Linked DNA regions of Arabidopsis thaliana. The protein of the gene in region 1 interacts with the protein of each later gene in a biochemical or structural test. Each region holds a gene or a part of one and is shown on either strand. Other genes may lie near its edges. The genes, in order: FLS2, UBQ3, RPM1 and RPS2.

Region 1 (6,862 bases):
CTAACTTCATAGCTGGGATTGCCATCGCTCTTCCACTCTATTGCTTCTCATTCGTTCTTCTTCAGATTCATCGTTAGAAACCGTGAGTCCCCAAATCATTCTCATTGGCCATCCACTCATAAAAAATCTAACGAAAACTTTGTTGATTTCTGTCATTTACAGGCAAAAACAAGTGTTTGTTCTTTGTGTTTCTTCATTGTGGTCGCATCAAAGCAAAGGAAAATAAGTAAAAAGACAAGTTAGTTTTGTTGATCATTTTCTTGTGCACATTCAGCTTCAAAGGACGTTCACCAAAGGCAGAACCAAGAACCGCATAGACCAACATCGCTCAACTACTTTTCTCTATTGCCATACAAAAGCGAAGTAATTGTCTCCGATTTAAAGTTTTCAATTTTTTGTGCTATATTCTTTAGATTTTGTTTTGTAAGGATTAAGCAAACAATATGTAGTTCGTCCAAAAATGTATAGTGATGTTAAAGAATTATATGAAATTGCAAAGTTTTAAAGAAGAATTCATTCTCAACAGTCACTGACATGGTTTTCTATCAGTCTAGTCTTGCAATTTCTGCGGTTCGCTAGCCGAGAATGGAAAACATTACCCGGGGAGATGAAAATGTAATGACTCTAGTTTTCACAGCTATTACTTGGCAAGTCTACACAATTGTCTTGTGTGGCATTGATCTTTGAGTCATCTTCTGTGTTCTCGATAACCGTCGTGAGATTGCCTATTGTCCGATACTAGCAGTGGTATTGTTTCATGATTAAATGGAAGGGACAAACGTCATCTCCATCATGATGACAAAAACTTGACGAACCTTATTCCTGATCTGCCTGCAATAAGAAACTATAGTATCCATGTGTAGCCTAATGCATTTGTATATGAAAAAGTTCATCAAAACCAAATTTCAACCTTATATAAAACAGAAATACATAACGAAAAGCAAAATCAGAACGTTTTACGTCCAAAGTATTCAACCTTCGTAACAGAGTTTGGCAAAGTCGAAAAAATGTCATCAAAAAAGCTTTGCTGCTAAACTTCTCGATCCTCGTTACGATCTTCTCGAAATGAATTCGCTTTGCCTCTAAGTTTCATCAGATGTGTAAGAATCTCGTTCATATCAGGTCGATCTTCAGGTCTAGAGCTTGTACAGAACAAACAAAGCTTCAGAAAGTCTTCAATAGCCTCTTCCTGTTTCAGAGAAACAATAGAGTCCCCGAGTTCCATATCAAGAACCCTAACCATCCCTTTTCTTCCATTTCCAATCGATTTCTCCACCAATTGGCGCAAAGTCATGTCTTGTGAATCTTCATCATTCAACGAAGTTGGTCTCTGTTTCGTCATCAGCTCCATCATTATGATCCCGAAGCTGAATACATCGGCTTTTGTTGTCACTTTCCTCATATAAGCAAACTCTGTTCATGAAAAATAAGAGTGTATTTCAAGTAAGTCGATGGCATAATTAGGGTTTTGAAAATTAAGTGTTGTGAGTAATTTACCTGGAGCTAAGTATCCAATTGTACCCTCGAAGGCTGATGTTGAAGCTGTGGTGCTTCCATCTTCGCGGAAACCTAGAATCCGAGCAGTTCCAAAATCGCTTACGTGAGCAACGCGGTCACTGTCAAGGAGTATATTAGCTGGCTTCAGATCACAATGAACGATGGGAAAACCATATCCAGAATGAAGATAATCGATTCCGCTTGCGATATGAACACAAAGATCGATTTTTTCTAAAAGCGACCCAATCGGTGCTGCAGAGCCGTGAATGGTGTCCTCCAAGTTTCCATTCTCCATAAATGGAAGCACTAAAGCTTTCGTTTTGCCGCTTTCCCACGCAAACCCTAAGATCTTCACCAGGTTTCGATGTTTTAGTTGGCTCAATGTTTTAGCTTCTGTGTAGAACCACTTGTCTGATTCTGCAGAGAATTCCTTTAGATTCAATACTTTTACTGCAATCACTGTCCCATCTTCTAGCTGACCTTTGTACACTGTGCTTAAGCTGCTTGAGCCAATGATGTTGGCACTGTTGAATGAATCTGTTGCTTGCTCCAACTCTTTTGGTTCAAATCTCTTCAGTTTCAGAGCTGAATCCAAATCCGGTAATGAGGACTCTGATGAATTTTCAATCTTTTTTTCTTTTTTCTTGCAACAGGTTAGAATCAGAACAAGAAGCAGGACAAGAAGAAGAGCCGCGGCTGATCCAAGAATAATCAGGATGACTCTGGTTCTCTTCGAGAAGTGGCTCGACTTCTGCTTGATCGTACATGGCTTGAGAGGCTTCTTGCTACCACAGAGATCTGTGTTTCCCATTAGATCAGAGGCGTTGATGTTTTTGAACACCCCGGATTCAGGAACATGGCCTTTGAGGTTGTTTGAAGCTAGTTTGAGATGTTTCAGAGTCGAAAGATTGGCGAGACTCTCTGGAATTTCACCAGTGAGATTGTTACTAGAGAGATCCAAGGAGACCAAATGCGTCATGTTCCCGAAGCTCTGAGGGATTTCTCCAGAGAAACTGTTCCTTGAAAGGTTCAAGCTTATGATCATATCCATGCCTTGGAAGACTTCATCTGGTATATGACCCGAGAGATTGTTCTGCGAAAAATCCAGTGTGAACACATTTTTGCAGGCCTGTAAAGATCTTGGAATAGACCCAGAAAAGAGATTGTTTGAAAGGTCGATTTCTTGAACCATTTCAAGCTTTCCAAGCTCCTTTGGGATGGTTCCAGTCAACAAGTTGTTTGAGAAGTTGAGGTAAAGCTGCATGTTTTTCAAAGAAGCTAACAGCTCTCCAGGGATGGTTCCAGTGAGAAGATTGTCGGAGATATCGAATGTGTTGAGAAGCGAAAGCGACTTAAGGCTTGCAGGGATAGACCCGTTGAATTTGTTTCCTTGAAGACTCAAGTAGGTAAGCGATTCAAGCTTGGAGAACAAGGCAGGAATTTGACCTGAGAATTTGTTGTTGGAAAGATCAAGAACTGAGAGTAGCTTCATATCAAACATTTCTTCAGGAATTGGACCTTCAAGATCATTTGAATACATCCTTAGCCCCTGGAGGAGAGTGAGATTCGACATCTCTCTCGGGATTCTCCCTGTGAAACCATTAGAGTGAAGGTACAAGATATTCAAATCTTTCAGATTCCCGATTTCTCGAGGAATCGGTCCAGTGAGAGAGTTATATGAAACTTGCAAAATCCTGAGTTTTTGAAGCTTCCCAATTAATGGCTTGAGAGTTCCTGTTAAGTTGTTATCTGCCACACTAAGAGTTTCCAAGTTTGAACAGTTGAAGATATCATCTGGAATTTCACCGGTGAAATGATTCCTCCCAATAGAAATGAACGTAAGATTCATCCTTCCGAAACCCCGCGGGATCTCGCCAGTCATTTGGTTGTGAGACAGGTCCAGGAGTTTAAGACCGGTGCAGTTACTTATGCTGGAAGGTATTGGTCCGGTAAGAAGATTGTCGTGCGCTGAAAGGTTCCGAAGGTTTGTAAGAAGCCCTAGATCCGCCGGGAGCTCACCGGAAATATTATTGAACCCCACCGTTAGGACTGTCAAGTTCCTCAAGTTTGTGATGGACTGTGGAAACTCTCCTGTGAAGTTGTTGGAATGAAGTGTGAGGACTTCAAGTGACTCAAGAAAACCGATTTCTTCTGATATCGGTCCAACCAAATGGTTTTCTGATAACCCCAAATGGGTTAACTGAGTTAACCGGAACAATGAAGATGGAATTGAAGAAGTAAGTTTGTTCTTGTATATCCGGAGTGCTTGCAGCTGAACCAAATTCCCTAATTCAGCTGGTATTTTCCCGGTTAACTGGTTATCGTAAAGCTCAAGTTGGACCAAGCTCGAGCAGTTTCCGATCTCAGCTGGTATATCTCCTTCCAACAAGTTTTCAGTTAAAACGAGAGACTGTAAGTTCAAGAGATTTCCAAAATCTCTCGGTATTTTTCCGGTTAACTGGTTACCACTCAGGTCTAAATCCGTTAAATTAGCCAGAGTACCAATTGATACCGGAATCGAACCAGTTAAATGGTTACCAGCTGCTACAAACATTTGGAGATGAACCAAATCTCCTAAGCATTCTGGTATTTTCCCGGTTAAGTTGTTGTAATCAAACCCAATCAATACCAAAGAACTGGTTTTGCAGATTTCCTCAGGAACATCACCGGACAACAAATTATTTCTAAGATCAAGATAGAAAATATTCTTAAGCTCCCAGATTCCAGAAGGAATCGAACCAGAGAAATAGTTTAGGTACAGAATAAGCTGGTTAAGCTCGGTTAACTTTCCTATTTCAGCCGGTATTTTGCCGGTAAAACTATTTGAAGTGAGATCAAGAACCTGGAGATAGGTGAGATTCGCTATGGCTGGAGACAGAACACCTTCAAGTTGCTTCTCCAGCAAGGAAACCGAGACTACATGTCCGGTACTATCGCAGGTGATTCCGGTCCAATTACAGTGTCGTAACGAACCGATGATGGTCCAATCTGATAATACTCCTAAAGGGTCGTTGGAAATACCATTCTTGAAGGATTTCAAAGCTTCGATCTCTGGTTCAAAGCTCTGTTTCGCTAGTGCAATGCCAAAGAAGAAGAAGGTGAGAGTTAATATCAAAAAGGTCTTTGAGAGTAACTTCATGGTTTAGACTTTAGAAGAGTTGAAATTGTGGAGAAGATATTATGAGAGAATTAATTATCTGGATATAAATCTATAGACGAAGTCATATGTTTATATATAAGCATATGCCGCAAGAAGATATAGATTTGAGGGATCATGTCACGGATGTGAAAAGGCCAAGACGCAATATAAGTTTCACTATTCACATAATTGGTAATTCTGTCAAGTTGCATATAAAGGCACTAAATGTATTCCCACTTCATAGTCATGCACATGCTTATATGCTTGTATTATATATCATATTCATTTAATCTCACAATGTATGTACTATGTAAGCCATATTCATGGGACCAGAATATGTAGTGACTACTTACTTACTAGTTTGTGTTAGTATCATTTTCCATATCTTATTTATGTAGTTTTTTTCCGATTTAGTTTTGAGCGATTGATTGATAACATATACAAAGTAGTTTTGACAAGGCGAAATCACTTTAATCTGCCTCCAAACGTTCTAGTCAAACTCAGATATACCACTAGAATGAAAACAATATGTTCTAGTCGTTAATTTATATGATTTCTTATAGTATATAATACATATGAAACTCACATTCTAGCTGTTTTTATGCTAAAAACAAACAAAAATGGAGTTTGAGAAATGAAAAATAAAAACCTTTTTGTTATTGGTCAAAAGAGTAGCAATCGTTGAAACTGAAATGATTGGTACTCAACATAGTATTTGACTATTGATTAAATAACATAACAATTATCATATTTTTTTCTTTCTAAATATTTGGTTTTAGGTCTAATCAGTTTAATTCATTAACACGTCTTCAAAGCTCTGACTATCAAAAGCTCATTAGCTGTCTTGATGGAATTTGTTTTATCAACAAGTTGTGTTCTGTACAAACAATCTGCCAAACATTTTATTTATCTTTCAACAAAAAGCAAAACAAAATTCAATTTTTGTTCAGATAGAAATATTACTCCTATGATCACAATTCACAACTTCTTAATATATGATTTATGGCTTTTCACATTGGACAAATGAATGGAAAAAAATAGGCGATTTAAAATAAAAAGATTATATTTTTAAAAAAGATTATGGATTTTGTATTGACTAATGACTATTGAGGAATCTGGTCATATATGATATCAGTTGATTTGGACAACCTCATCTTGACCCATTAGTATTTCAAAATTTCCATTAATTAAAAACAAAAAAAAAAATCAATTTTGTCTTCAAGATGCATGCACTGTTCTTACTTGGAGTTGACCCATATAATTCCATATCATGTTTACTTGAAGACTTGAAAGTTGACCCGTTAGACAAATAATGAATATCATTAGGTTGGGTCAAAATATTTAGAATGTCCGAAAAGGGTTTATATTGATTTTAAAATAAAGATGAACAAAGGAGTCAAAGAAAAAAACAAATTGACAGCTGTGGGATTTGAACCCACGCCCTTTCGGACCAGAGCCTAAATCTGGCGCCTTAGACCACTCGGCCAAACTGTCACATTATTACATTAAGCATGTGATTGTATTTATACTAATGTTTTAATTATTGAAAAGAAATAATCCTCGTCTTGTTGTTTTTCTTTTTAATATTTCTTAGAGCAAAGTCTTTTGCGTTTTGACTATATCTTATGGACAATCATATAAAAGTTATTTTATTTCTTTGAATTATTCGTATCAGTTTTTTTAATAAAATGTGAATTTCTATTACCATAGGAACATTGTTCATATATAATAACTTTTATATGATTACCTATGGTAATAGACAAGTCTGCAAAGATATAAGGAGATTGCCCAAACCGAAGCATTATCATGTGCCAAATTTCCTTTGTAAAGAGACAATGTAGAAGTAAGTGATTCCTTGTTTCTTCACACAGAACTGTTACATTGCTCAATGATAGATTTAACATTTAAGATGTTAATAGCAAAAAGAAATTTTTTAAATGGGATGATTGATTAAGGTGCTCGCGAGAACAAAGTAGATTATATACAAGAAGTTTGATCACTACAAGTTATTATGATTTGTGACGGATTTTCACTACATAATATTACTTAACGATATATATCATATCTTTACATAATATAACAATGTTATTAAATACGGCTTAGGAGGTGGTTAGGCTCTATGTAGGTTACATACTCCGATTTTAAATTGTAGTGTAGTTTACGCGGTTTTAAAATTTGGATGTCTAATAACACTTACAAAATTTCATATTTTCTCTATATTCGAAT
Region 2 (4,100 bases), about 18 Mb from region 1:
CGTTTTGCCGCCTCCCGGTATCTCATCTAAGCTCAACACACAGCCTGATCCATCATCAGTTGAAGACTCTTCGATTAACCTCTCAAGAAGCCCACTTCTAGATAGTAACGGAAACTACACACAAATCAAGAACACACATTACACAGTTAGATCATCAAGCTTTCACATTTATGCAATTACATCAAAACTAGGACTAAATAAACAGAGAAGATAGAGAAAATTTAACCTTGTGGAGATGAAACTTCATGTCTCCAACTTCAATGGTAACATCACTCACGAGTCCTGTAGTGCAAAGCCTGTAAGACAAGAGAGAGACATAAACCACCACCCAAAACAGAATATACTTGTCCGTACAAAATTGATTATTGATGTCACAAATCAATCAGAGCTAAATTCCAAAAAAAATATGATCTTTGAAACTTGCATCAATAACTAACGATTCTAGGAAGAGCCCATTTCGATTTCAACAAAAAGATGAGAGCTTGATTACATATAAAATCAAGAGAAATTAACGACATTGAAGAGAATTCGATCTCGAAACCGGAAACAAAGACTTATAAGTCGATTAGTCTAATTCAATGCAGAAGAAAGAATACCAGGTTTGGCCTTCACGATGGAAAGCTTCGGATTTGGAGCCAAGTCTCATAAACGCCATTGTGGAAGAAAGTCTTGAGTTGGTGGTAATGTAACAGAGTAGTAAGAACAGAGAAGAGAGAGAGTGTGAGATACATGAATTGTCGGGCAACAAAAATCCTGAACATCTTATTTTAGCAAAGAGAAAGAGTTCCGAGTCTGTAGCAGAAGAGTGAGGAGAAATTTAAGCTCTTGGACTTGTGAATTGTTCCGCCTCTTGAATACTTCTTCAATCCTCATATATTCTTCTTCTATGTTACCTGAAAACCGGCATTTAATCTCGCGGGTTTATTCCGGTTCAACATTTTTTTTGTTTTGAGTTATTATCTGGGCTTAATAACGCAGGCCTGAAATAAATTCAAGGCCCAACTGTTTTTTTTTTTAAGAAGTTGCTGTTAAAAAAAAAAAAAGGGAATTAACAACAACAACAAAAAAAGATAAAGAAAATAATAACAATTACTTTAATTGTAGACTAAAAAAACATAGATTTTATCATGAAAAAAAGAGAAAAGAAATAAAAACTTGGATCAAAAAAAAAAACATACAGATCTTCTAATTATTAACTTTTCTTAAAAATTAGGTCCTTTTTCCCAACAATTAGGTTTAGAGTTTTGGAATTAAACCAAAAAGATTGTTCTAAAAAATACTCAAATTTGGTAGATAAGTTTCCTTATTTTAATTAGTCAATGGTAGATACTTTTTTTTCTTTTCTTTATTAGAGTAGATTAGAATCTTTTATGCCAAGTATTGATAAATTAAATCAAGAAGATAAACTATCATAATCAACATGAAATTAAAAGAAAAATCTCATATATAGTATTAGTATTCTCTATATATATTATGATTGCTTATTCTTAATGGGTTGGGTTAACCAAGACATAGTCTTAATGGAAAGAATCTTTTTTGAACTTTTTCCTTATTGATTAAATTCTTCTATAGAAAAGAAAGAAATTATTTGAGGAAAAGTATATACAAAAAGAAAAATAGAAAAATGTCAGTGAAGCAGATGTAATGGATGACCTAATCCAACCACCACCATAGGATGTTTCTACTTGAGTCGGTCTTTTAAAAACGCACGGTGGAAAATATGACACGTATCATATGATTCCTTCCTTTAGTTTCGTGATAATAATCCTCAACTGATATCTTCCTTTTTTTGTTTTGGCTAAAGATATTTTATTCTCATTAATAGAAAAGACGGTTTTGGGCTTTTGGTTTGCGATATAAAGAAGACCTTCGTGTGGAAGATAATAATTCATCCTTTCGTCTTTTTCTGACTCTTCAATCTCTCCCAAAGCCTAAAGCGATCTCTGCAAATCTCTCGCGACTCTCTCTTTCAAGGTATATTTTCTGATTCTTTTTGTTTTTGATTCGTATCTGATCTCCAATTTTTGTTATGTGGATTATTGAATCTTTTGTATAAATTGCTTTTGACAATATTGTTCGTTTCGTCAATCCAGCTTCTAAATTTTGTCCTGATTACTAAGATATCGATTCGTAGTGTTTACATCTGTGTAATTTCTTGCTTGATTGTGAAATTAGGATTTTCAAGGACGATCTATTCAATTTTTGTGTTTTCTTTGTTCGATTCTCTCTGTTTTAGGTTTCTTATGTTTAGATCCGTTTCTCTTTGGTGTTGTTTTGATTTCTCTTACGGCTTTTGATTTGGTATATGTTCGCTGATTGGTTTCTACTTGTTCTATTGTTTTATTTCAGATGCAAATCTTCGTGAAAACACTCACTGGCAAGACTATCACTCTCGAGGTTGAGAGCTCTGACACCATCGACAATGTTAAGGCAAAGATTCAGGACAAGGAAGGCATTCCTCCGGATCAGCAAAGATTAATATTCGCCGGTAAACAGCTAGAAGATGGCCGTACCTTGGCCGATTACAACATTCAGAAAGAATCAACCCTTCATTTGGTTCTCCGTTTAAGAGGTGGTATGCAAATCTTTGTCAAGACTCTGACTGGCAAGACCATTACTTTGGAGGTTGAGAGCTCTGACACTATTGACAACGTCAAAGCAAAGATCCAGGACAAGGAAGGAATCCCTCCGGATCAGCAGAGACTTATCTTTGCCGGTAAGCAGCTTGAAGACGGAAGAACTCTTGCTGACTACAACATTCAAAAGGAGTCGACCCTTCATTTGGTGCTTCGTCTCAGAGGTGGTATGCAAATCTTTGTCAAGACCCTCACTGGTAAAACAATCACCCTTGAGGTTGAGAGTTCAGACACCATTGACAATGTCAAAGCTAAGATCCAAGATAAAGAGGGAATTCCTCCGGATCAGCAGAGGCTTATCTTTGCCGGTAAGCAGCTCGAAGATGGACGCACCCTTGCAGATTACAACATCCAAAAGGAGTCGACACTTCATCTTGTGCTTCGTCTCCGTGGTGGTATGCAGATCTTTGTGAAGACCCTTACCGGAAAGACCATTACTCTGGAGGTTGAAAGCTCAGACACCATCGATAATGTCAAGGCTAAGATTCAGGACAAGGAAGGGATCCCACCAGACCAACAGAGACTCATCTTCGCTGGAAAACAGCTTGAGGATGGTCGCACACTTGCAGATTACAACATCCAGAAGGAGTCGACTCTTCACTTGGTTCTTCGTCTTCGTGGTGGAAGCTTCTAAGCTTTTTGTGATCTGATGATAAGTGGTTGGTTCGTGTCTCATGCACTTGGGAGGTGATCTATTTCACCTGGTGTAGTTTGTGTTTCCGTCAGTTGGAAAAACTTATCCCTATCGATTTCGTTTTCATTTTCTGCTTTTCTTTTATGTACCTTCGTTTGGGCTTGTAACGGGCCTTTGTATTTCAACTCTCAATAATAATCCAAGTGCATGTTAAACAATTTGTCATCTGTTTCGGCTTTGATATACTACTGGTGAAGATGGGCCGTACTACTGCATCACAACGAAAAATAATAATAAGATGAAAAACTTGAAGTGGAAAAAAAAAAAAACTTGAATGTTCACTACTACTCATTGACCATAATGTTTAACATACATAGCTCAATAGTATTTTTGTGAATATGGCAACACAAACAGTCCAAAACAATTGTCTCTTACTATACCAAACCAAGGGCGCCGCTTGTTTGCCACTCTTTGTGTGCAATAGTGTGATTACCACATCTCCACATTCAATATATTCCCTGAATTATCTGACGATTTTGATGGCTCACTGTTTTCCCAAGTCTTGAATTGTCTTCTGTGCGCCAGTCAAATGCATATGTGTTGAGTTTATCTTTTAAATATCAAGCTTTTGTTTTTAACTTTTGTTTGTAACCAAAAACTCACAGTAGGAGTTTGATCACATAATTTTATGTTTGCCTTTGCAATTTCTAGTGAGTCTTTGATTAAAAGCTTGAAAAGAAAATGCAGCCAAGCTTACCAAGTAAGTTATGTGTATTAACCAGAGGAAGAGAGAATCTTGCAAAATTTCAACAAACACAAAAAGAAGTATT
Region 3 (6,229 bases), on another chromosome or scaffold:
GTGAGTTGTTTTGGATACCTTCTTCACGCGTTTATGTGCTTTCTCTCTGCCTTTACATGCACTAATGTCTTTTGTTTCACAGATAACTCGGAGAGGGCTTTCTACAAGGAGCTAGTTAAAGTCATTGAATTGTCTGATGTCATTTTGGAGGTTCTTGATGCCCGTGATCCTCTTGGCACTCGTTGTACTGACATGGAGAGGATGGTGATGCAAGCCGGTCCCAATAAGCATCTTGTGTTGCTGCTGAACAAGATTGGTAAGTTCATATATTCAGTCTTTACTCGTGGACGTAATAAGTTGTTTGTTTACTCTGGGTGGTGTAATTAATTTTTGTAACTGATTCACTCTCTCCAGATCTTGTTCCCCGAGAGGCTGCTGAGAAATGGCTTATGTACCTTAGGGAAGAATTTCCAGCTGTTGCCTTCAAGTGTAGCACCCAGGAACAGAGATCAAACTTGGGTTGGAAATCATCTAAGGCATCAAAACCAAGCAATATGTTGCAGACGAGTGATTGTCTTGGAGCAGACACTCTTATCAAATTGTTGAAGAACTACTCAAGAAGTCATGAGGTTGGTTCCATAGTTTAAACTTTAATCATCCTACCTTAGCATCAAGTTATATCATTCAGTTTCAATTAAATCTTCCTTTGTTGTTCTTTGGCAGTTAAAAAAATCTATCACAGTTGGTATTATTGGACTGCCTAATGTCGGCAAGAGTAGTCTTATTAACAGTCTGAAGAGAGCGCATGTTGTCAATGTTGGTGCCACTCCTGGACTGACTAGATCTCTGCAAGAGGTTCACTTGGACAAAAACGTGAAGTTGCTGGATTGTCCTGGAGTTGTGATGTTGAAATCATCAGGAAATGATGCTTCCATAGCTCTCCGAAATTGTAAAAGAATCGAGAAGTTGGATGACCCAGTTAGTCCAGGTAATTGGATATAAGCTCAAGATAGAATCACACTTATTTTTGTGCTTTGTCTTTTAAAGGTTATAATCTGAGTGACCTAACTTGGAAATCTTCTGCTTTGTGAAAAAAATAGTGAAGGAAATTCTCAAGCTTTGTCCTAAAGATATGCTGGTGACTCTCTACAAAATCCCGAGCTTCGAGGCAGTTGATGATTTCCTTTACAAAGTCGCCACTGTAAGGGGTAAACTTAAAAAGGGTGGTCTTGTGGATATTGATGCTGCTGCCAGAATTGTTTTGCATGACTGGAATGAAGGTGCGGATCTTTTTTTGTTCCTCGTAAACTTGAAGCGTAAAAGCATTTTTGAAAACCAGTTTCTTAACTCATCATTGTCTCTAATATGAATGGTTATGCAGGTAAAATCCCATACTATACAATGCCGCCAAAGAGGGACCAGGGTGGACATGCAGAGTCAAAGATTGTGACTGAGCTGGCCAAGGATTTCAACATCGATGAGGTTTACAGTGGTGAATCCTCTTTCATTGGGAGCTTGAAGACGGTTAACGAATTCAACCCTGTTATTATTCCTTCAAATGGTCCTCTCAATTTCGATGAAACTATGATCGAGGTTGGTAACTTCTCTCGTGATTCCATTTGCTTGTAAATGACTCGGTCTGGATTTAATCTTTGTTTATGATGATGTATCACAAAAAAAAAAAACAGGATGAGTCTAAGACGCAGACGGAAGAGGAGGCTGAGCATGAGAGTGATGATGATGAGTCAATGGGAGGGGAGGAGGAGGAAGAGGCAGGAAAGACGAAGGAGAAATCAGAGACGGGGAGGCAGAACGTGAAGCTATACGCAGCGGAAAGCATGTTGAATACAAAGAAACAGAAAGCAGAGAAGAAGAAGAGGAAGAAAGCAAAGAAAGCAGGAGCTGATGAGGAGGATCTGATGGACGGAGATTATGATTTCAAAGTGGATTATAGGAAGAACAAAGATGGAGAAGACGAAGAATTCCAGATTGATGCTAAAATCCCAATGGCTGGACTTTTGCCTGAAGAATGAGTGATTGGAAACCACAACGTTTTTTTTTTTTTTTTTTTTTGTATTTGGCGTTTATGAGTCGGTCGGTTAAACTTTCTGATATATGTGCTTCATGAACTAGTAGTAATACTGAAGCGATTTTGATTTCTTTAATTAACGTTTCTTCTATTCCAATTCTGCTTTGCTTAACAAATATCTTAAGAACATTCAAAAATCATTGAGGTAAGTGTACTTCTTCGCCCTTCAGAAGAAAGTAATAATCTTTTACCCTTTCAGTTTCAGGTAACGAATGACGAAAACAACACCCGAGTTCAGTACATCAGATTTCTCTGTCTCTCTCTTGGAACTTCCAAACTCGACCATATCCGTCAAATTGAATTCCAAGTTGCAAATGTGAAAGCAGTTTAAACCCGTGTTGACTTTAACGCAAGTAAAGGACGTTGACTTTGTTGAGGTCCTTAAGGATAATTGATCAAAATGTTATGTGGCAGGCATGTAAGGTGTGAACCGAAAGCTTGGCTTTGCTCAAATTCAGCAAGTTCACCAAGAGAAACTAAATCAGTGAAGGAAAAAAGGTTCAAGCGAGACTCTGAGGAAGATGGCTTCGGCTACTGTTGATTTTGGGATCGGACGGATTCTTAGTGTCCTGGAAAACGAGACCTTGTTATTGTCAGGAGTCCATGGTGAGATTGATAAAATGAAGAAGGAGTTGCTGATCATGAAGTCCTTTCTTGAGGATACTCATAAACATGGTGGAAATGGATCCACAACAACAACAACTCAACTCTTCCAAACTTTTGTGGCAAACACGAGAGATTTGGCTTACCAAATCGAAGACATTCTCGACGAGTTTGGCTATCACATCCACGGTTATCGTAGCTGCGCCAAAATTTGGCGTGCGTTTCATTTCCCGAGGTATATGTGGGCGAGGCACTCGATAGCTCAAAAGCTAGGAATGGTTAATGTCATGATTCAATCCATTTCTGATTCCATGAAAAGGTACTATCATTCAGAAAACTACCAAGCAGCATTATTACCGCCTATTGATGATGGCGATGCAAAGTGGGTGAACAACATCAGTGAGTCATCTCTTTTCTTTAGTGAAAATAGTCTTGTAGGGATTGATGCACCCAAGGGAAAGCTCATCGGACGGCTTCTAAGTCCCGAACCTCAGCGGATTGTTGTCGCGGTGGTTGGGATGGGCGGTTCAGGGAAAACTACACTCTCAGCGAATATCTTCAAGTCTCAAAGTGTGCGGAGGCATTTTGAGTCTTACGCTTGGGTTACAATCTCGAAATCTTATGTGATTGAAGATGTGTTTAGGACCATGATCAAGGAGTTTTACAAAGAAGCAGATACACAGATTCCAGCTGAATTATACTCCTTAGGCTACAGAGAGTTGGTGGAAAAACTTGTGGAGTATTTGCAGTCGAAGAGGTACATTGTTGTGCTTGATGATGTATGGACCACTGGTCTATGGAGGGAGATAAGTATTGCTTTACCAGATGGTATTTATGGAAGTCGTGTTATGATGACTACTCGGGACATGAACGTGGCTTCTTTCCCATATGGAATTGGGAGCACAAAGCACGAGATTGAGCTCTTAAAAGAAGACGAAGCTTGGGTGCTTTTCTCCAACAAAGCTTTTCCGGCAAGTCTTGAGCAATGCAGAACGCAGAATTTGGAGCCGATAGCACGAAAATTAGTCGAGAGATGTCAGGGTTTGCCATTAGCTATTGCTTCTTTGGGAAGCATGATGTCAACCAAGAAGTTTGAATCAGAATGGAAGAAAGTCTACAGTACTTTAAACTGGGAACTGAACAACAATCATGAACTCAAGATTGTTCGAAGCATTATGTTCCTTAGCTTCAATGATTTGCCATACCCGCTTAAACGTTGTTTCTTATATTGTTCTCTTTTCCCTGTGAACTATCGGATGAAAAGAAAGAGGCTCATTAGGATGTGGATGGCACAAAGGTTTGTGGAACCGATCAGAGGAGTGAAAGCAGAAGAAGTGGCTGATAGTTACCTCAATGAACTTGTTTACAGAAATATGCTTCAAGTTATCTTGTGGAATCCTTTTGGACGACCCAAGGCGTTCAAGATGCATGACGTGATATGGGAGATTGCTCTATCTGTATCCAAACTTGAGAGGTTCTGTGATGTATATAATGATGACAGTGATGGTGATGATGCTGCAGAAACAATGGAGAATTACGGTAGTCGCCATTTATGCATTCAGAAAGAGATGACACCTGATAGTATACGTGCAACAAACCTTCACTCTCTTTTGGTTTGCTCTTCTGCTAAACACAAGATGGAATTACTTCCAAGTCTGAACCTTCTGAGAGCCTTAGACCTTGAAGACTCTTCCATCAGCAAGTTACCAGATTGTTTAGTAACTATGTTCAACTTAAAGTACTTGAATTTGTCCAAGACACAGGTGAAAGAACTGCCAAAAAACTTCCATAAACTCGTCAATTTGGAGACGTTGAACACAAAGCACTCCAAGATTGAGGAACTTCCTCTAGGGATGTGGAAATTGAAGAAGTTGCGATATCTCATTACTTTTCGCCGCAATGAAGGACATGATTCCAATTGGAATTATGTTTTAGGTACAAGGGTTGTTCCTAAAATCTGGCAGTTGAAGGATTTGCAAGTCATGGACTGCTTCAACGCAGAAGATGAGCTTATCAAAAATCTCGGGTGTATGACTCAGCTCACAAGAATAAGTCTTGTCATGGTTAGGAGAGAACATGGAAGAGACTTGTGCGATTCACTGAATAAGATTAAAAGAATTCGATTCTTATCTTTAACGTCGATTGATGAAGAGGAACCGTTAGAGATAGATGACCTGATCGCAACTGCAAGCATTGAGAAGCTCTTTCTTGCTGGGAAACTGGAGAGAGTACCAAGTTGGTTCAACACTCTTCAAAACCTTACCTATTTGGGTTTGCGTGGATCTCAGCTACAGGAAAACGCCATTCTCTCTATCCAAACGCTTCCTAGATTGGTATGGCTTTCATTTTACAATGCATACATGGGACCTAGGTTGCGTTTTGCACAAGGATTTCAGAATCTGAAGATTCTAGAGATAGTTCAGATGAAACATCTGACAGAAGTTGTTATAGAAGACGGTGCAATGTTTGAGCTTCAGAAGCTTTATGTCAGGGCTTGTAGAGGGTTAGAGTACGTACCAAGAGGAATTGAGAATCTTATAAATCTTCAAGAACTGCATTTGATTCATGTTTCTAATCAGTTAGTAGAACGCATTCGCGGAGAAGGGAGTGTGGACCGGTCAAGGGTTAAACACATTCCTGCGATTAAGCATTATTTCAGAACTGATAATGGCTCTTTCTATGTGAGCCTCTCATCTTAGGCGGCCAAGGCAAGCTTCATCATACAAGATACTGCACACTGTACTGTGAAAATCAGGGATGGATATTCACATAACTACTAAACGCCATGAGCTTACCAAACAGATTGATTGTCATGTGTTGTCTTTGAAAGTCAACAATCAGGTCTTCTCTTCACTCAAAGACAACATTTTTTTGCTGGTCTCATGAGTCAGTGCTAATGACTAAACAGCTCACTTCACAGCAGTTTCCACTGTTTTTTTTCGAAATTCATTTAAGTAAGATTTAATATGGTCAGCTGATTGTTCTGTAATTCTGTGTAAACATTACTTTGTTAAGACCTTAATATTGTTGACATTGTTATTTGAGTATCGGCTTCAACCAAGAAATTCCACTACCGTGTTAGTCTTCTAAATGAAAGTGGCTCATTCACAATCCCAAAAGTTAGGACCTTTACACTAATCGAAATAACCAGATACAGTTGGACTAAATACTTAATACTACTCCAAAACATTCCATTTTAAATTTCTCCTTAACTGATGGAAAAGTTTTGAAATTTTGAAAAGAAGAAAGTAAAAAAAATCTTGTTATCAACGATCCGCGGCGGTTAAAACGGAGATTATTATTGATGGATGGATATCTGGTCATTCGTGTTATCCACGTGCAACTAACGCACGTAAAAGACATACTAACCTCCCCGAAAATCGGATCCGGATCCGAAAATATCTGACCCGTTTTGAAGCGGTTTGACGAAAGACCGTTTTGGGCCTAGTCAATAGTAAAAATTAAAAACTCAAGGCTCTTTGGTGTCCCTTGGTATTACTATCGGCCTTTCCCGATGCTCTTTCTTCTTCATCTTGAAACTCGCGATTCCTTCTTCTCCTTCTAGGGTTTATTACTAAGGGTTTCTCTATCCTTAAA
Region 4 (5,931 bases), on another chromosome or scaffold:
TTCATTGTTGAATCCAAGGGGAGGAAGAAGGGCGACCACATATGGAATCATCTCGACGGAGAGTTTCAGGGGCTCTTGATAACTCAGGGAATATTTCGAACCAACCGACATCCTCAAGTGCTAGAGACTCCATGGTATGAATCTCTCTGCATTTGCTATCTCTCTCACCTGCAAACATGAGTTTGGGTCATATGTGATTTAGTGGCTAAAAGTATCAAAACTTTGTTCAATTTCTTTTGGATGCAGATCCCGAGCTCCTCGTTGTTTGCACAATCAGCAGGATCATCGAGGAGAGTAACTGCAGTAAGTGGCAGCCGGGACAATTTTCCAGGCAGCGAGGAGTTGTTGCAGAGAAGCCGTACAGGTGACGTCAGCCGCGGCGTGATCCCGAGAAACTCTCCTGGGGAGGCTGGGAAATCCACAAGAAGACACTACGAATCAGTAGTTAAAGGCATCGATAATCTTCAAGTCTCGGACGAACACCATCCCCACTGATACATTAATTTTACTCAGTGACCTTTTTATTCCTTTTTCCGTTATTACACTACGAAAATTTGAAAATACAATTTGATTGATCCACCATGAAATTTGGTCTTCACTACAATATCTATGATTATTGGGGCTCAAACGTAACAATTAAAAATAAAGATGCACAAATGCAAAATTCTTCTTCTCCGATCCGGTTCTGCAATTTCACCGGATCCGGTTCAGCTCATTAGCTCAATTCTTCACAGTCGTCGTCCATGCTTTCTCACTTCTTACTGGAGGTCTAATCTGAGGTGACGATTCCCAGAATTGTTGCAGAGATCTGATAAACTTGTTCGTCTTCACTGATCGGAACTGGAGCTTGGAGTTTCTATATCGACGATACTCGGTGAGTCTTCGTCCTCATAGTCGTGAGATCTATTTGATCGCGGATAGTTTGGTTTTTATGATTACATAATCTCTAGTTTTGTGGTCTAGTGGAAAGTTGATGACTTCACTGGAACAACCTTCCTGGCTTCCTGCTACTTATGAATGGACATATTTGTACAGAGTGCTCTTAGCTCTTATATCAATTTGGAACAAAGCGCGGTAAATAACAAAGCTCTTCGTTTGGTTGATCTTTTTCCAGTGCTTTCCACCATTTCTCCTCACAATAAACTGTTGGCAAGTTCATCTGGGTCCTCCTCTCCTGAAACGGCAGTTTCTTAACTCTGGGGCAATTTGTGATGACTAATGTTTCAACTTTTTGGAATGAAAATCGAGATGGGAGGATGCTGTTTAGTTCTGGCAGATCCCTAGTTCTCAAGGTCTTCAGGCTTGGGAACAATGTTGGATCTTCGACGGATGGACTCTCGTGTTCGCTTATCAATTCCTCTATCTCTCTGCAGTCGAACAGTTCAATCACCTCTAGCTTTGGGAGTTTCTGAACCCATGAGACATTCTTCAGCTTGTTGCAGTGTGAAATGTTTATGCAACGGATATTCCGCAGACAATCTTGGCTTACAGAATTTCCCCACACTCTGGTTAAGTTGTGAAGGCTGTGTAACGTCAGAACCTCTAGACTCGGAAGCCAATCATTTTCAAAATCTGCGGGTGTGACCAGGTACTCCAAGTCATGGCAACTTTTAATGCTAAGTCTTCTCAGGTTCCTGCCATGGTTAGTGAGTGATGGGAGATTGAAGTAGAGGAGTTCATTGCACTCTTCAACGTGGAGATGCTGTATATGTTTATGCAAAGCACCGAACTCGAAGAGAGTTTTTAGGGTCTCCAATGAGAGAACAGTGATACCGAGTGTGGTTAGGTTTTCCAAGTATTCCAAGTCAGCGAATCCGAGTTCTTCTGCTTCATCTTCTCCAAAGCTCTGCAGTTCCCAACCGGCGTAACTGTAGTACAAGTTCAGAACCTCGAGCTTGCTCAGCCAACATATGGCATCTCGTGGGATCGTCTGAAGAAACTGAGTTCTTTGTAGGTCCAGATGCTTCAGTTTTCTAAGATTCCCAAGCTCCTGTGGCAATACACTTATCTTTGTTCCTGACATAGACAGATGATACAACTCCACCAAATACTTGATAGACAACGGAATCTCAGTGATACTTGTGAACGACAAGTCCAAGACTCTGAGAACAGGCATATGCATGAAAAACCCTGTTGGAATCTTCTTCAAAGAGCTGTTCTGTTGGAGCATCAGTGTTGTCAGTTTCGGGCATATGAGTTTTTCAGGCAAGGTCTGGATTCTGTTATCTAACAATGAGATCACCAACGCTTGTCGCCAGTTTTCTGCTTTAGGAGCTTCAGTATGTCCCATGCTAGGCTCAACTAGGATCAGCTCCTTATAAGTCCCCTGTTCAGATGCCATCCACAATGCAAAGCTTCTGACCACATTATGCATCTTCACCTGTGTTTTCTCATCTCCGGTTTCCAACAAACATGCCGCTTTCAGATCCCCAATGAGAAAATATCCCTTGTAAATGGTGTTAACGCCATGGGAGCTGGTGAGAAACCCTTCGCCGACCCAGTACTCAACAAGCTGCTCGATCTCTATAGAATGTTCTTCTGGGAATAAAGCGCAGTACAAGAAACAAGACCGAAGCAGATCACTCTCGAGGTTGTCGTAGCTGAATTTCAAAAGGGCAAATACATAGTTCATACCCTTCATCTCTGCTGGAAATCTAGTCAGAACTTCACTAGCATGGATCCACTCTTCTTCTGTCTCTCTATGAGCCATGGCTCCTCCTAAAGTGATCAACGCTAGTGGCAATCCTCCACATTTACTCACTATAATCTCCGCGAGCCGGCGAATTGATGATGACTCTAAAAGATCTTTTCTCCATACCTTACTACAGAACAGCTCCCACGCGTGTTTCTTCTCCAGAAACTCCACTCTCAACTTGTATTCCGCACCCATATTGTTGCATAATGCTATAGACCGTGTCGTGAACATCACCTTGCATTTGTTTTCCCTGTCAGGTCGAGGAACTCCAGTTTTCTCCAAGTCTATCTCTTCCCAGACATCATCTAGCAACAACAAGAAACGTTTCTGTCTCAAAGCTCTGTATATCTTCAAAGCTCTGTTTTCGCCGGTCTCCTTCTCGTCCCAAGATAAACCCAACCGTGCTCCAACGGCTTGCTGAATTGTACACTCGCCGAATTCTCTGGACATTTGAACCCAAATCAGTACATCATACTGATGTCCTTTTGTGATCAGCTCGTTGTTAATGCTCTGCATTAACGTTGTCTTCCCAACCCCACCAGGTCCATAAACACCAATGATTCCTCTTTCTTCTTCTTCACTGAGAAATTCCAAAACCTGTTCCATCATCGTGGTATTTCCGACAACGGACTTGATGGGTATCTCTCTACAAGTTACTTGAATTGACCCGCCATCTGTTTTGATAGCTTCAGAGCGTTCTCTCAGCTCACCAATGCTCTTCAATATGGCAGAAACCTTCTTGCACAGTTTGTAGTCGGCACAACCGAAACAACTGAGGTATCTCCTCCTCATTCGCGTCCTCTGTTCCCGACGCCTAAACCTCACTAAAAGTAGGGCTGTTTTAGTCTCCGTTACTTGCACCGCACTAAGCCACTCTCTGGCACGATTTGAGCAGCTTCGTCCCTCTAGACCGTCTTGTTGGATCCGTAAAGTCAGGTCATCACGTATGGCCTTCAAGTCACCGATGGCTGTTTCAAGATCAGTGATGGCTTGTCTAAGATCAGTCTTATGTCCTCTTCTCTCCGCCATATTCATAGATTCACACAACACCTGAGCACAGCCAACGATAAGAGATGAGATGAAATCCATTTCGATGATTTCTCGCTCTTTCTTTTACTTGTCTGAGCTAACTAACTAATAAAGATGAGGTGTTGACTCATAAAGATTAAAGTAAAGTCAACTTTAATAAAGCTGTCTTGCTTGCTTGTATGACTTGGTTCAAGAAACGAGTAGAGAGAGATAGGAATCTTCCTCGAAGTCTCGAACTGTTGTTTGCATGCTTGTAATTTCTACTGGCCAAGTGAAGGCCCGATAACAAAATTGGCCCTCTAAGAGCCTTTTAATGCCTATAGGGTTTTTTTGTTGGGTCAACAATTCCAATGATGGTGCATTTTTTTTATGTTGAATATATACAAGATTTGTTGCATATTAAAAAGACTGGTCAAGTAAAGTGTTTCACCGAAAATGGGAGACATCAAGTACTTATGAATGATGATATATGTACCGTTCTTTAGAATTAGTTCTGTGACTTTATTACGAGTTAGAACAAACCTACTTCTACTTCTCTTATCCACTTTGCCCGCAATCGCAAGGAAAGCTAACAAATTCAATTAATCACACATTAAACAAAATAAATTACTAGTGTTCATATTTGTCTCGGCTTTCTTCTCAGTTTATCTAAAAGAAATAGCTTTCAATAAAAAATCAATGTTTTTTCTACTTTTGTAATAATTTGTAAAAAAAAAACGGTAGATGATTGGTACATTGTATTTGAGGTGTCTTGGGTATTTTGTCTCTTGCCCATCATCCAAAGCCCACTTTCACACATCTCCCATATGAATAACATATCATTACACATTGTCCAAAGAAAACCGCACAAGTGGCATCAAACATATGGAACATGAATAAATACTTCTTTTTTATCTATCTGTTGACGAATAAATATTTATTGAGATATTAGAGAAAATAGAATAATAATGAGGAGAGGAAAAAAGAGAGTTTAAAGACAAGATATTTACGGAATTTAATGGGACGAAAGAAAAATAATATAAAAGGGGGACCTGTCTTTGTCAGTGCAATGAACCTTTTTTTCTTTCGATCAAATCTCTCCCGCCACCCAACTAACACATCTTAAACCGTACACGTCACCCTCTCTCCTTCCCATTTTCTTCGTCTACGTGTCGACCATCCACCGGTTTTTGTTTTCTGCTAAACGTGGGACCTATTCACATTTTTATTTTATTTTAAAAAATTGGACGGATTCTTTCATGTTCTTTGGGTCGTTGCATAATTATGTCCATGAGTCTATCCATCAAAATACCTTCGGAATCATCTTTTTATTTTATATATATACTGCGACAACAATAATTTTATGTTTTGTACTGTCTTTTCTGGTCAATAAAAAAAACTAAAAATTTGGTCGAATTTAATGGACTTCCATGACCAACTCTTCATTTCCCTTAAGGATAAATTGAGAAGAAAATTATATACTGGAATTTGAAAAAGCTTTATATAATTGTAACGTATTTTTATAATTGCACGACAAATCTCTTTTCTTGATTTTTTGTATGAAACTACAAAGACCAATTTTTCTAACAACTAAGATTCAGTTATTATTTTTGGTCACATAAATAAATGAGACGATAACTTCATAATGGTTTTGGTTTTGAGTTTGACCAAAAATGGTTTTCAAGATAAATAATTAGATGAATAATGAAACGTACCCCTTAAATAACAATTATTTAGATATTTTACCGGTGGTCTTTCATTTTTCCCGAATATAAAACATTGAATTCTTATCTAAAGGACAAAGTATTGTTCTTATTCTGAAAATGACACAAATTTAAAATTTTTATTTAAATCTATGAATATCTAAATGGTATATTATGTTTGGTGTTTTTTAGTCCAATGATTAGGAATTACGAATAATGTTTTCGTAATTCAAACTCTATTTATTTAGATTGAAAACTATATGACAAATAAAATAATTGCAAAACAATACAAGATTTAACTCGGACTACGACACGTCATTTAATGAAAGTCATCTTTATGAAAATATAAAATCCATTAAACTGATGACCTAACTAAAGTTAAAAGCAAACATATTTTATTTTGTTTGACAAACAAAAAAGAAATATATTTCTCCCAAAGAAAAAAAAAACCAAAAAACTTTATGTTTGTTAAAAAAATAAGAAATGATAAAAGCATTTTTTTTAAAAAAAATGTTGAATATAGGA

What was found.
Region 2: the proteins of FLS2 (region 1) and UBQ3 form a complex in vitro, tested with the Arabidopsis thaliana proteins (one study listed by BioGRID).
Region 3: the proteins of FLS2 (region 1) and RPM1 form a complex in vitro, tested with the Arabidopsis thaliana proteins (one study listed by BioGRID).
Region 4: the proteins of FLS2 (region 1) and RPS2 form a complex in vitro, tested with the Arabidopsis thaliana proteins (one study listed by BioGRID).

Annotation. Positions count from the first base shown.
Region 1 is NC_003076.8:18,789,576-18,796,437, reverse strand, and holds FLS2 (Leucine-rich receptor-like protein kinase family protein), read right to left. Parts: upstream 4,864-6,862; 5' UTR 4,637-4,863; coding exon 1,498-4,636; intron 1,414-1,497; coding exon 1,031-1,413; 3' UTR 530-1,030; downstream 1-529. Other genes in the region: RWA1 (O-acetyltransferase family protein), read left to right, coding at 1-77.
Region 2 is NC_003076.8:771,146-775,245, reverse strand, and holds UBQ3 (polyubiquitin 3), read left to right. Parts: upstream 1-1,732; 5' UTR 1,733-1,974; exon of another isoform or gene 1,975-2,349; coding exon 2,350-3,270; 3' UTR 3,271-3,586; downstream 3,587-4,100. Other genes in the region: AT5G03250 (Phototropic-responsive NPH3 family protein), read right to left, coding at 1-114, 227-296, 597-655.
Region 3 is NC_003074.8:2,225,346-2,231,574, reverse strand, and holds RPM1 (NB-ARC domain-containing disease resistance protein), read left to right. Parts: upstream 1-2,019; 5' UTR 2,020-2,550; coding exon 2,551-5,331; 3' UTR 5,332-5,720; downstream 5,721-6,229. Other genes in the region: NSN1 (GTP-binding family protein), read left to right, coding at 83-256, 355-569, 664-928, 1,041-1,220, 1,322-1,533, 1,629-1,973.
Region 4 is NC_003075.7:13,222,449-13,228,379, reverse strand, and holds RPS2 (NB-ARC domain-containing disease resistance protein), read right to left. Parts: upstream 4,043-5,931; 5' UTR 3,785-4,042; coding exon 1,055-3,784; 3' UTR 508-1,054; downstream 1-507. Other genes in the region: CK1 (casein kinase 1), read left to right, coding at 19-134, 247-495.